Cricetulus griseus: one gene and its partners. The main gene of each other region encodes a partner of the protein of the gene in region 3 in a complex. Links are inferred from orthologs where the notes say so. Each region holds a gene or a part of one and is shown on either strand. Other genes may lie near its edges.

Region 1 (4,338 bases), on a different chromosome or scaffold from region 3:
TTAAAGGCTCTATCCCCTGGAAGTCAAAGAGAAATGTCTAGCAAGGGGGTTATTTGTTTGCTTTCAGCTTCTCCCAGAGCCAAAACAGAGCTGGAAGCTCAGAACTGGCCAGTACTCTATAAATTCAATTAAAGTATACATGACAGAAGAGTGAATAAATAGGTTACTTTCCCTGCTTTTGTACTTGCTTCCCACGATTCTGTAAAGAATGTAAAGTTTGTTCTTCCTTTAGTAAATGATCTTGGGATGTAAAACTATAAGCAATACAAATATGTGGTGTTGTTTTGATGAAAACGTAGTTTGTTTTTTCAAAAATGTTCAATTACACCAAGGTGTCTTCAATAAAGGAAAATGGTTTTTAAAGCAATTTGGTGAAAATAGGGTAGGCATTTTGTTTTACTTTTTAGTAGTACCTCACTACTTAAGATGCCCAATAAATGTTTGGGGTTTGTTTTGTTTTGTTTCCTCTGTGTAACTGCCCTGGCTGTCCTGGAACTTGCTCTGTAGATCAGGCTAGCCTCGAACTCAGATATCCACCTGTCTCTGCTAAAATTAAAGGCCTGTGCCACCACCTCCCAGTTGCTCTTTGTTTGTTTTTAAAGTGATCTTCGTATTAAATAACGACGTTCTTTAATCTGGAACAATAGAAATATTTACCTGGGACTCGGATGAGAAAAAAATATGAGAAAAGGGCAAAAGAAAAGGAGTCCTGTGTAATTCCAGGCAAGCTAGTTTGGCTGCTTTGAAACATTTCTTTCAAAAATTACCAAATTGTTAACTGAAGGTCTGTAGGTGTAGTCTGAGGTCGGAGGTAAAGTAACATACAGCACACACACACACACACACACACACACACACACACACACACACTTTCTGAGTTTTCTAAACGATCACACACACTCTTTCCGAGTTTAGTTTGGCTGCTTTGAAACATTTCTTTCAAAAATTACCAAATTGTTAACTGAAGGTCTGAAGGTGCAGTCTGAGGTCGGAGGTAACATACTGCACACGCACACGCGCGCGCGCGCACACACACACACACACACACACACACACACACACACACACACACACACACACACACACACACAGTCTGAGGTCGGAGGTAACATACAGCACACACACAGACACACACACACAGACACAGACACACAGTCACACACACATACACTTTCTGAGTTTTCTAAACGGTCCATGGAGACGTCATTTCCACAGCAGCATTTCGATTCTGCGCCTGAACCTGAGACAGCCTCTGCGATGGAGTCCCGCCGGCTGACACAAGCCGGGAGCAGCCGAGAGCAGCCGGGAGTGCTCGTGGAAGGAGCTCGGGTCCCACCAGGTGAGCGAGGACTGGGGGCTACTTCCTCGTCACACGCAGCCGCGGACGCCAGCCAGTACCTTCCGGCAGATGCGGACCTTCGGAGACCGGAACCAGGCTCCCAGGATGTGGGAGTGGCGGAACAGAATAGTTAAAGTACCACCCTCCGCAAGGCCGGGCAGCTAGGCGGAAGTGAAGGACTGACTGAGCTGGGGGAACTTTGCCTGGATTGCACTTTCCTGTTCTCTAGTCCGCCCCCGCCAGAGGGGCTCGGCTCCGGGATTCAAGATGGAGTCGTTGAGTAGAGCAGGGCAAGAGATGAGTCTGGCGGCCTTGAAGCAGCACGACCCCTATATCACCAGCATCGCAGACCTCACGGGCCAGGTCGCTCTGTACACTTTCTGCCCTAAGGCCAACCAGTGGGTGAGTGAGGCCCAGCCGCGAAGGGTGCCAACCTGGCCGCTGCCGCCTCTTAAAGGGGCCGCGCAGGCAGCTTAGGATTGGGGGTGGGGGAGTGAAGCAGGACCGCAAAGGCGAGGCCAGAACCTCTCCTAAAGGCCCGGCCAGAACCAGAGGGGTGACGGGGGCACGCGGAATTGGAGGAAAGAAGCGGGAGAAATATAGCAGGGAAGATCTAATGGAGGGGAGGAATGAGGCAGGATCAGTCCTTTGGGGTCGGTTCTGGGGACTTGAGTAATTTTACTTTTTTACTGGTTGCATTGGAAGGATATGAGACAAGTTAGTTTTTTTTGGGGGGGGGAGGTATTTTTGTGACTGAAATCTGTGTTTCAGACTTTGAGAACTATTAGATAAATTACATGTGTCTAATCACAAAGTCCACCCCTCTCCCCCCAACCTACCTAAATGAGGTGATTTGGATTTGAAGCTTAAAAAATCAGTTTCAAGAGTTAGTCCCGCTTTAATCGAACTACTCTAGAGTTTGGGGAAAGATTTCAAGGCATCTAAGGAAAGGGCACTACGGTAAGAATAGGGTTCCTTGGAGACCTTTTGCAGGGAAAAGAGACCGGTGATACCTAATCTTTGATGGCTCACATCTGAGGACTTTTTAGATTTTGTGAGTGGCGATGGAGTTCCAAAAAGTTACAGTGCCTACTCACTGACTTGTTAGCTTCAACTTAAAGTACCTTTCAGTTGTTTACATGGTTTCCCATTTTCTTGTGCTGACTCTTTCTAATTCATTCAACTGTAAAAGCTTCATGCCTTTAATCTGTAACTGTTGATTGAATAGAATTCATCAATGATAGGCGTTCACCCTTCAACAAGTAATGAGGTCCTTGAACTAACAAAACGCTGAAGGACTGGTCTAACTTTTATTCACTGTGACACTGATACATAGATGTAATTTTGTGGAAGTGTATTGTCATTTATGAAAGTTTACGTCAGAAGAAGTTTCCATAATCATTTTCCTTCTCCTTCTGGAGGGGAAAGGGATGTAGGAAGCCACTGAGAATAAAATTACAAACTGTTTTACTGGTATACCTGTTTTAAACAGTGCCTTAGTTTGAAGTATTTTGTATCATTTTTCTCTGCTTCCTCTATATGTAAATTTGTAACATAAGGGCTGCAGACAATTGGTGAGAATTTGCAAGTAGCATTTATAACTGTTACCTATTTGTAGTTTTTCACAAAGGCTTGCAACACTTGAGGATTTTCACCATGGAGTTGTTTTAAAATGAAATTGAAACCTAAGCTGCTGTTTTTTTGGATCTTGATACATGGTGCATTCACCATCATCTTTTCTTATTTATTAGTGGTGAGTTGTAATTTTGCTCAATGTATTTTGGGAGGCAAGTTTACTTTTACTCTGAGACAACTGGCTGTCATCTTTTTCTGATGAGAGCATTTTTTTTAAAGCAAGAAAAGGCCTCAAGAAGGATAAGTTTCATTGTGATGTAGAAGACATGTACAAGAAACAGATCTTTATTTTTAATTTTTTATCACAACAATTTGTTTGATATAACGTTAAGTTTTGATAATCTTTTGGTTACATTTAAATTATCAAGATCCAGTGTAAGCCAAGAACTACAGACTGACAGGATTTTGGGGTTTTAGAAAAAAATAAAAGCACTCTGCCTGTGCCTAAAACCTGACTATATTCTTGTCAAAACAGATGAAAGAATATTAATGGGTTGTATTTTCTTGTTTTGTTTCTTGTAGTGCAGAAGATCAAACCTAGGGCCTCATGATCCTATTCAAGCACTGTACCTCTACCACTGAGCTATATATATCCAGCCCAAGTTATTTCTTAATCAAATTTTCAAATGTTTATTTTAAAAACCTACCAGAATTGCCTACGTCTGAGAATGAGGTCTATCCATGGATTCTTAACAAAGTGTTTGGTAGTAGTCCTTAACTAACCACAAAATTTGTTACTAATGAAAATATTCCTAAATTCTCCAGAGGTGAAACAAAGTATATAAGAAAATTTCCTGAGAGTTAGGGATTTGGCTCAGTGGTATACAGCTTTACATCATCAGCCCCAGACCCTGAGTTCAGCCCTGGTATCAGTTTACTTTCTTTTTCTATTAACTTTGATAGACTGTTAAAGTTTGGTCAGGTTTTTTTGTTTGTTTTTGAAGTTGCAACACAAAATACTTCAACATTAAGATACCTTGTTGAAAGGTTTTAGGTTTGGCAAAGTTAAAGCTGGGACTGGAAAGATGGTTCCTCGGTAGCTAAGAGCACTGGCTGCTCTTCAGAAGACCTGGGTTCAGTTCTCAGCACCCACATGGTGGCTCACATCCATCTGTAACTCCAGTTCCAAGGGATCCAATGCCCTCTTGTGCCCTCTGTGAGTTTCCAGCACACATGTTGCGTAGACGTGTGTACTGGCAAACATGTATGTTTGGTTTTTTAGTTTTTAAAAAAGTTAATGCATAAAAATAAAAAGTAAAGCTAATTCTGGTATTTTGTTTTTTAGTGGTCCTTAAGGTTTAAAATAGAAAAATGCTACAGATGTAGACATGTTGAATTGAACATTGATTACAATTATATAAACA
Region 2 (3,650 bases), on a different chromosome or scaffold from region 3:
CTATCCATTCTTCAGTTGAGGGGCATCTAGGTTGTTTCCAGGTTCTGGCTATTACAAATAATGCTTCGATGAACATCGTTGAACAGACGTCCTTGTAGTAGGAATGTGCTTCTTTTGGGTATATGCCTAAGAGTTGGAATTGCTAGATCTTGTGGTAGACTGATTCCCATTTTCCTGAGGAATTGCCATACTGATTTCCAAAGTAGCTGTATAAGTTGGCACTCCCACCAGCAGTGGAGAAGTGTTCCCCTTTCTCCACATCTTCTCCAGCATAAACTGTCTTTGGTGTTTTTGATTTTGGCCATTCTGACAGGAGTAAGATAGTATCTCAGAGTTGTAAATTATTCTTGTTTTAGCATGTATCCCAGTAGCTATGTGTGACAGTGCATACATATTTAATGGTTGATAAAAAAAATACCTTATGTGTAAATTCCAATTATACTGAAGTAAGCAATTAAGGAAATTGGGAAAATTCTATTTTCATGGGTCAGAAATAAGAAATGAATCTTGTCTGTTTCCCATTGCACTCAGAATTATTATTTAAATAATAATTTTAGTCATTTAAATACAGCCTGACTTTTTTTTTGTCAGTGTGGTGTCCCTAGACAAACTCCCTATTGTCTGGTGCCTCCTGTCTCCACAGATGTGCACTGGGAACTACACCTTTGTCCCTTACATGGTGACACCGCATAACAAGGTCTACTGCTGTGACAGCAGCTTCATGAAGGGCTTGACGGAGCTTATGCAGCCCAACTTTGAGCTGTTGCTGGGGCCCATCTGCTTACCTCTTGTGGATCGTTTTGTTCAGCTTTTGAAGGTGGCGCAAGCAAGTTCCAGGTAACACAGTGCTCACACTGGGTGATGATCGTGCAGGGTGGTTCTTGCTTCCTTTACTTGTGTATCTTGTCACAGTTCCTAATTAAGAGCCAGGAAACAATGTGCAGTATCCTCTGAGTGAAAAAAAATGGTTTTCTTTCTTTCTTTCTTTCTTTCTTTCTTTCTTTCTTTTTTTTTTTTTTTGGTTTTTTGAGACAGGGTTTCTCTGTGGCTTTGGAGCCTATCCTGGCACTCGCTCTGGAGACCAGGTTGTCCTCAAACTCATTGAGATCCACCTGCCTCTGCCTCCCGAGTGCTGGGATTAAAGGCGTGCACCACCAACGCCTGGCTAAAAACGTGGTTTTCATTCGTAAGTTGAACCTCATTCACTTGGTTTATAAACTACTTTGCTCCCAATCTATTAATTGTTTCATATTAATGACAAAACTGTATCTGTGTGTATGTATGTATGTATATATGTGTGTGTGTGTGTGTGTGTGTGTGTGTGTGTGTTTATACATGTATGTATGTATGTATGTATGTATGTATGTATATGGAGAGAGAGGGAGAGATCTCTTGTGGCTACATCAGAATGAATGTCCAGGGACTTTTAGTGTAAGGGACAGAACTCTGCAAAAATTGCTGAGAACACAGTTTAGTTAAGAATGATCTTCAGGCTGATGAGATGGCTCAGCAAGTACTTGCTGCCAACCCTGACTGCCCGAGCTCTTGCTTCCCTGGAACTTTCTATGCAGACTCAAACTCAAGTGCCACCATGCCTAGTAAATGTACTTAAAAAAAAAAACCAAAAGAATTACTAGTTATTTCTGTTTGTGGTGATATATTGTTCATGATCTAATAAAGCTTGCCTGGGGGCCGGGCGTTGGTGGCTTATGCCTTTAATCCCAGCACTCGGGAGGCAGAGGCAGGTGGATCTCTGTGAGTTCAAGACCAGCCTGGTCTACAAGAGCTAGTTCCAGGACAGCCTCCAAAAGCCACAGAGAAACCCTTTCTTGAAAAACCAAAAAAAAAAAAAAAAAAAGCCCTGGGGATCAGAATGCAAAGCTTGCAAAGTTTGCCACAGCCTTAGAAGCTGTGGCACACACCTTTATTCTCAGGACTCAGAAGACAGAGGCAGATGGATTTCTGTGAGTTCAAGACCACCCTGGGCTATGGGAGAGTGAATCTGTCTAAAAGAGAAAGGGAGCATAGGCCTTTAATCCCAGCACTAGAGAGGTATAGAAGGAGCTCAGTGCAGTCTCAGGAGCACTCTGAGATTTGGTGAGGAGCAAGCAGTCTGGAGATGCACTCTGAGGTTAGGTGGATCACCCCTTCTGAACATTGGTAGAGGTGAGACCTCTCTAGTGGCTGGCTGCTTTGCTTTTCTGGTCTTCAGCTTGAATCCCGATATCTGTCTCTGGGTTTTTATTATTCCTACCACATCTGTTAGTAGATAATGATACTGAGCCAGAAAGGTAAGGTTGTATTATATTCAGATCATAGGCATATCTAATTTATTTGGGATCATTTCCATCCAAAATAGCAAGGTGAGAAGTAAAGTTTCGACAGTGTTTGAAATATGGCAGAAATTGAGAAGAACTACACGGCTTTGCATCTCCCAAATGTCTTAATGATGCCAAATATTCGAGATGTTCCTTCAGTGCATCTTAATGAGCTAAAGACTGCTCATGGACAAATGTCATATATTTCCTTATAACATTACTGCTTTTCACTGAATTATTTTCAAAGAGTTAACTCTTTAAAATGTATGGTTTTTCACCAGCCAGTATTTCCGGGAATCTATACTCAATGACATCAGGAAAGCTCGGAATCTATTCACTGGTAAAGAATTGGCAGCAGAATTGGCAAGGATTCGGCAGCGGGTGGACAATATTGAAGTTTTGACGGCAGACATTGTCATCAACCTGTTGCTTTCCTACCGAGATATCCAGGTGAGAAGATAGTGTCTCTTGGGTAACATGCTGGAGGAGGAAGGGATGCTGGTGTTGACTTTCAGCTAGCTAATAAGTATTCCATGTTGCCGAATGGAGCTGACTGATAACTTTCCACCGTGTGGTTTCATGGTGAATGGAAAAGACTCACACATGGTGACTTTTGGGGATTATGACATACTCATATTTACTCTTCCTTAAAATTGCTCACATATCCAGCTCTTGGAGGCTCAGTTCTCTCTTGTGAGCCTCAGGCACACCTGTCAGTCAGCCAGTGAGTGAGAGCTTTCTTTTGGCAAACAGCAGAAGTTCTTAGTGCTTTCTGAATATATCTTTTACTTCCTGAAGTTATGCTACTGGAAAGGATCATGCCAGGAGTAAGAAATATGCAGCTGATTCATTGTAAAATAGAGGTAAAACCTGTAACATGACACGATGGCCTACGGTATCATTTCTACTGACATGTCTTAGTTTTTTTTTAGATCTGGAAAGTAGGATATCTCTCTGTGAAGGATATGGCATTACGGGTGTAGTGTAAAATCCAGGTAACTCCTGGTTTCTCATTCCCATGTCTAGCCTCTTGGCCTCAGGTGAGATTTCACCCATGAGGCTCAATTCTTAGAGAACTGTTTCAATTGAGAGTCTGTGGCTAGAGGAACTTTGTCCCATGAGATGAAATCATTTTGTTACTTAAAACAGAAGTTCAGTCAGTTGCTCCCTGGCCCTGAAAGGAACTGTTGGAACCCTGTGGACCAGGAGCCTGGCTGTGTGAAAAGAGCTGGTCATGTCTCTGTGGTTTATTTGTTTTATTTCTTTGGGTTTTGTCAAATTCCATATCTGTCTTTTTCATGCTTAGATCCATGTAATAGGAACTTCTTAGGA
Region 3 (3,144 bases):
AGGTCCCAGGAGGTAAAGAGAACCTCCACAAGTGGCCCTTAGATCTTACTTGAGCCCTTTCCAGGTAGCTCCCTCCCTAGCAATGGGTAAGGGGTACATGCACTTGGCTGGTCAAGAAGGAAAAGGTGACACATACCAAATTCAACCACCAACAGACACATTTGGCAGGCCTCCCTCCAGGCTGTCCCCCGCTCCCCAGCGTGCAGTCTCTGCTGCCTCTACCCAAACCCGCTGTTCAGCTGGGCGAAGAGAAGGGGGCACTGTGCCCTCCGGCTCACACTCCATCAGTCTTGTGCTCCCTCCACTGCAGGCGAGTCTGCAACTGTGGGGAGCCTCCTGACTGAGACCAAGACCCTGCCCGGGGCCACCACAGTCCCCCTCTCCTTAGGCAGGTTAACAATTGCTGCTGTTTCTGAACTCGCCGTTCTCAGTAATCTGCAATTTGGTGGGGTTGGTGGGGGAGACGCCGTTACGGGCTTGCATGCTGTACCTCTCTTTCAGCTGCGTGAGGGCACTCATGAGGCGGGCGTTGGCAGCATCCAGTGAGGCGATGCGCTTTTCCTGTGGGCAAGGAGGGCATTAGTAAGGCATGGGATGGGCTGTAGACTGTAGAGGGCAGCTAGGTAAGGAAAACAGGGAAACTTAGTTGGAAGTCAGGTGTGGGGAAGGTTCTGCACCATCACAGACTGAGACTTTGTCATCTGCCTCTTAAGAGTTAAAGCAGAACTACCGGCTCAAAGGCAGGAGCCCTTGCTTTCTTCCATACATAACACCATCGAGCTCCTCATTCCTAGGCTGTGTACTTTACAGTCTAACTAATTCTTGGGGCATTGGGAAGAAAGGGACACAGCCTTGAGTGAAAGGACTTGGGGGCCTGGGGCCCTCTACCTAGCTTGCTTCTCCCTCCCCCAACTCCCAGTAAGTTCCACTGGTCAGCTTCCTCAGAACAGAGACTGTGGTTCCTGGTCCTTGGCTTTTGCAATTAGGTATAACCAAGGACGATAGAGAAGCCAGTCACCTCCCCATCCCCCCAAGCTCTCTAACACTGTGGCCAGAGCCCAACCTGGGCATCAATGATCTTCTGTTTGGAGTCTACAGCTGCTTGCATCTCAGCGTGGTCCTTCTTCAGTTCCTCTTCCACAGACATCAACCTGTGACCAGAGACAGGGGTAGTCAGGTGCGCCAGAAGGACGAAATGCGTGGTGGCCCCTCAACTGTTCCCATCACTGACATGGCTGAGCTGCTCTGTCTTGACATCAACTCCCCACATCCAGCTCTGCTACCTGTCCCAGTGCACTTCCAGGGCACAAGGAATGCCATGTCACAGGATCTGTAGCAGGGAATACAATGAAGACCCTGGAAGGCTCTAGACTCTCTTCCATCATATTTACTGAGATAGTGTGGGCCTTGTGAAGGCACAGGGTAAGGGAAGCTTCCCAAGGTAAGGGAAGCTCCACCATTTCCCTTTAGGGACTCAGACCACCAGGAACACCACACCAGGCCTATAACTGCACAGCTGTATAGCTGTCGTCGTCGTCGTGGGGCAACTCATATCCAGGGATGCTGGCAGTCCCCTGGGATCAGGGTGATGAGGGAATTCAGCAGGGTTGAGGTGGAGGATCTATAGGACAGAGATGCACCCTACTAATTCCACCCTGCAAGCAGGTAAGCAAACAGTAGGCAGAGCAGGGTTGTGAAAGAGCCACAACCCTGGGAACAGCTCCTACCAGATAGATTCTGGGAAACAGGCACTACTTGGGGCACCATGAAGAATTCTGGGAAGGTATCTGTGTACATGATACAGCCAAATGAGGCCAAGTCTGAAGGTCTTCAGGTTTCACACTAGCAAAGCTCCAAAACGAACCTGAAAGGATACACCTGATTCCTGGCAGTATCACTCTATTTCAGAACAAATCCTACACAAGTAATTACAGGCACACAACCTCTACCACCAATCTGTAAAATTCACAAGGCAGGGCATCCCACCAAATCTAGGGAGGACACAGAGCTGTAAGGAAATGAAACCTATAACTAGGAGGAAAATCAGAGAGCAGAAAGACTCGGGATGTCAGATGACAGGCTAGTCAGTAATGCCATTAAAACAGTCATGATGTAGACATTCCACATGCCTAGAGGAGAGATTTAAACTACAACAAAGTGAGAGCTGAAAACTACATACTCCAAGTGGAAAGGGCTGATGACAGGTGCAAGGGAAGCACTGGTTCGCCACAGAGGCCACACAGAAATCGTCTCAAGCAGGGCCTATGGCCCCTGGCCTGAACTTCCAGCTACCTGGGAGACAGAGGCAGGAGGAGCCTAGCAAGTTCAAGACCTGCCTGGGCTGTAGAGCAAGTTCAAGGAGAGCCCAGAAAATTGACTGAGAGCTTGTCTCAAGGAAAAAGATTGGGGTATAACTCAGTGGCAGAGAACTGTCTAGCCTGAACAAGGCTCTGGGTTCAGTCCCCACCCAGTATATAAAAATGCATATAAAACAAAATGCAGGAAACATGGAAAAAGAAAACTGTGGGGGCCATACAGATGGCTCAGTGGATAGGAACACTTGTCACTCTTGCAGAGGACCTGAATTCAGTTCCCAGCCCCCACATGGCAGCTCACAAGCACCTTAACTCCAGTTCAGGAGACTTGACACCTTCATCTGACTTCCTTGGGTACCAGACATAGAAAGCATGGAGGCAAACCTGTACATACAAAATAAAATTAAAAAACAAGGGAGGTGGGCTAGAGATTTAGTGAGGGGCAGGAGGTTGGGGATTTATCTCAGCGGTAGAGAGCTTGCCTAGCAAGCACAAGACCCTGGATTTGGTTTTTCAGTTCTTGGGGGTAAGGGGGAAGGAGACAAAGAAAATCATGAAGTATAATGAAATGGAAGACAACATAGAGCAAAACACTATACCTGTGAGGGCAGGTGGCAGCAGTCACAGAGAAAGAAATAGGAAGCAGGACCATATACTTACATATCTAAGAATAGCAACCCCAAGAAACACAAAGAAAACCATACAAGGCATGCTATAGTCAGATGCAAAATCAAATTGTTGACAACATTTAATGAAAAAAATATTGGGTCAGGTGGTTGAAGGGTAAAAGCACCGCATACAAGCTTAATGACTGAGCTAAATCTCCAGA

Evidence for each region.
Region 1: Dab2ip (region 3) and Dcp1a share a complex: the UniProt entries of both Homo sapiens proteins name them as parts of the cytoplasmic complex. The link is inferred for Cricetulus griseus from reciprocal best matches to the Homo sapiens genes DAB2IP and DCP1A.
Region 2: Dab2ip (region 3) and Map3k5 share a complex: the UniProt entries of both Homo sapiens proteins name them as parts of the cytoplasmic complex. The link is inferred for Cricetulus griseus from reciprocal best matches to the Homo sapiens genes DAB2IP and MAP3K5.

What each region holds. Positions count from the first base shown.
Region 1 is NW_023276807.1:189,261,215-189,265,552, reverse strand, and holds the start of Dcp1a (mRNA-decapping enzyme 1A), read left to right. Parts: upstream 1-1,524; 5' UTR 1,525-1,606; coding exon 1,607-1,741; intron 1,742-4,338. UniProt on the Homo sapiens protein: Necessary for the degradation of mRNAs, both in normal mRNA turnover and in nonsense-mediated mRNA decay. Removes the 7-methyl guanine cap structure from mRNA molecules, yielding a 5'-phosphorylated mRNA fragment and 7m-GDP.
Region 2 is NC_048595.1:269,795,898-269,799,547, reverse strand, and holds part of Map3k5 (mitogen-activated protein kinase kinase kinase 5), read left to right. Parts: intron 1-643; coding exon 644-837; intron 838-2,599; coding exon 2,600-2,768; intron 2,769-3,650. UniProt on the Homo sapiens protein: Serine/threonine kinase which acts as an essential component of the MAP kinase signal transduction pathway. Plays an important role in the cascades of cellular responses evoked by changes in the environment.
Region 3 is NC_048599.1:147,603,244-147,606,387, reverse strand, and holds part of Dab2ip (disabled homolog 2-interacting protein), read right to left. Parts: intron 1,152-3,144; coding exon 1,064-1,151; intron 562-1,063; coding exon 491-561; coding exon of another isoform or gene 404-490; coding exon 399-403; coding exon of another isoform or gene 394-398; exon of another isoform or gene 1-393. UniProt on the Homo sapiens protein: Functions as a scaffold protein implicated in the regulation of a large spectrum of both general and specialized signaling pathways.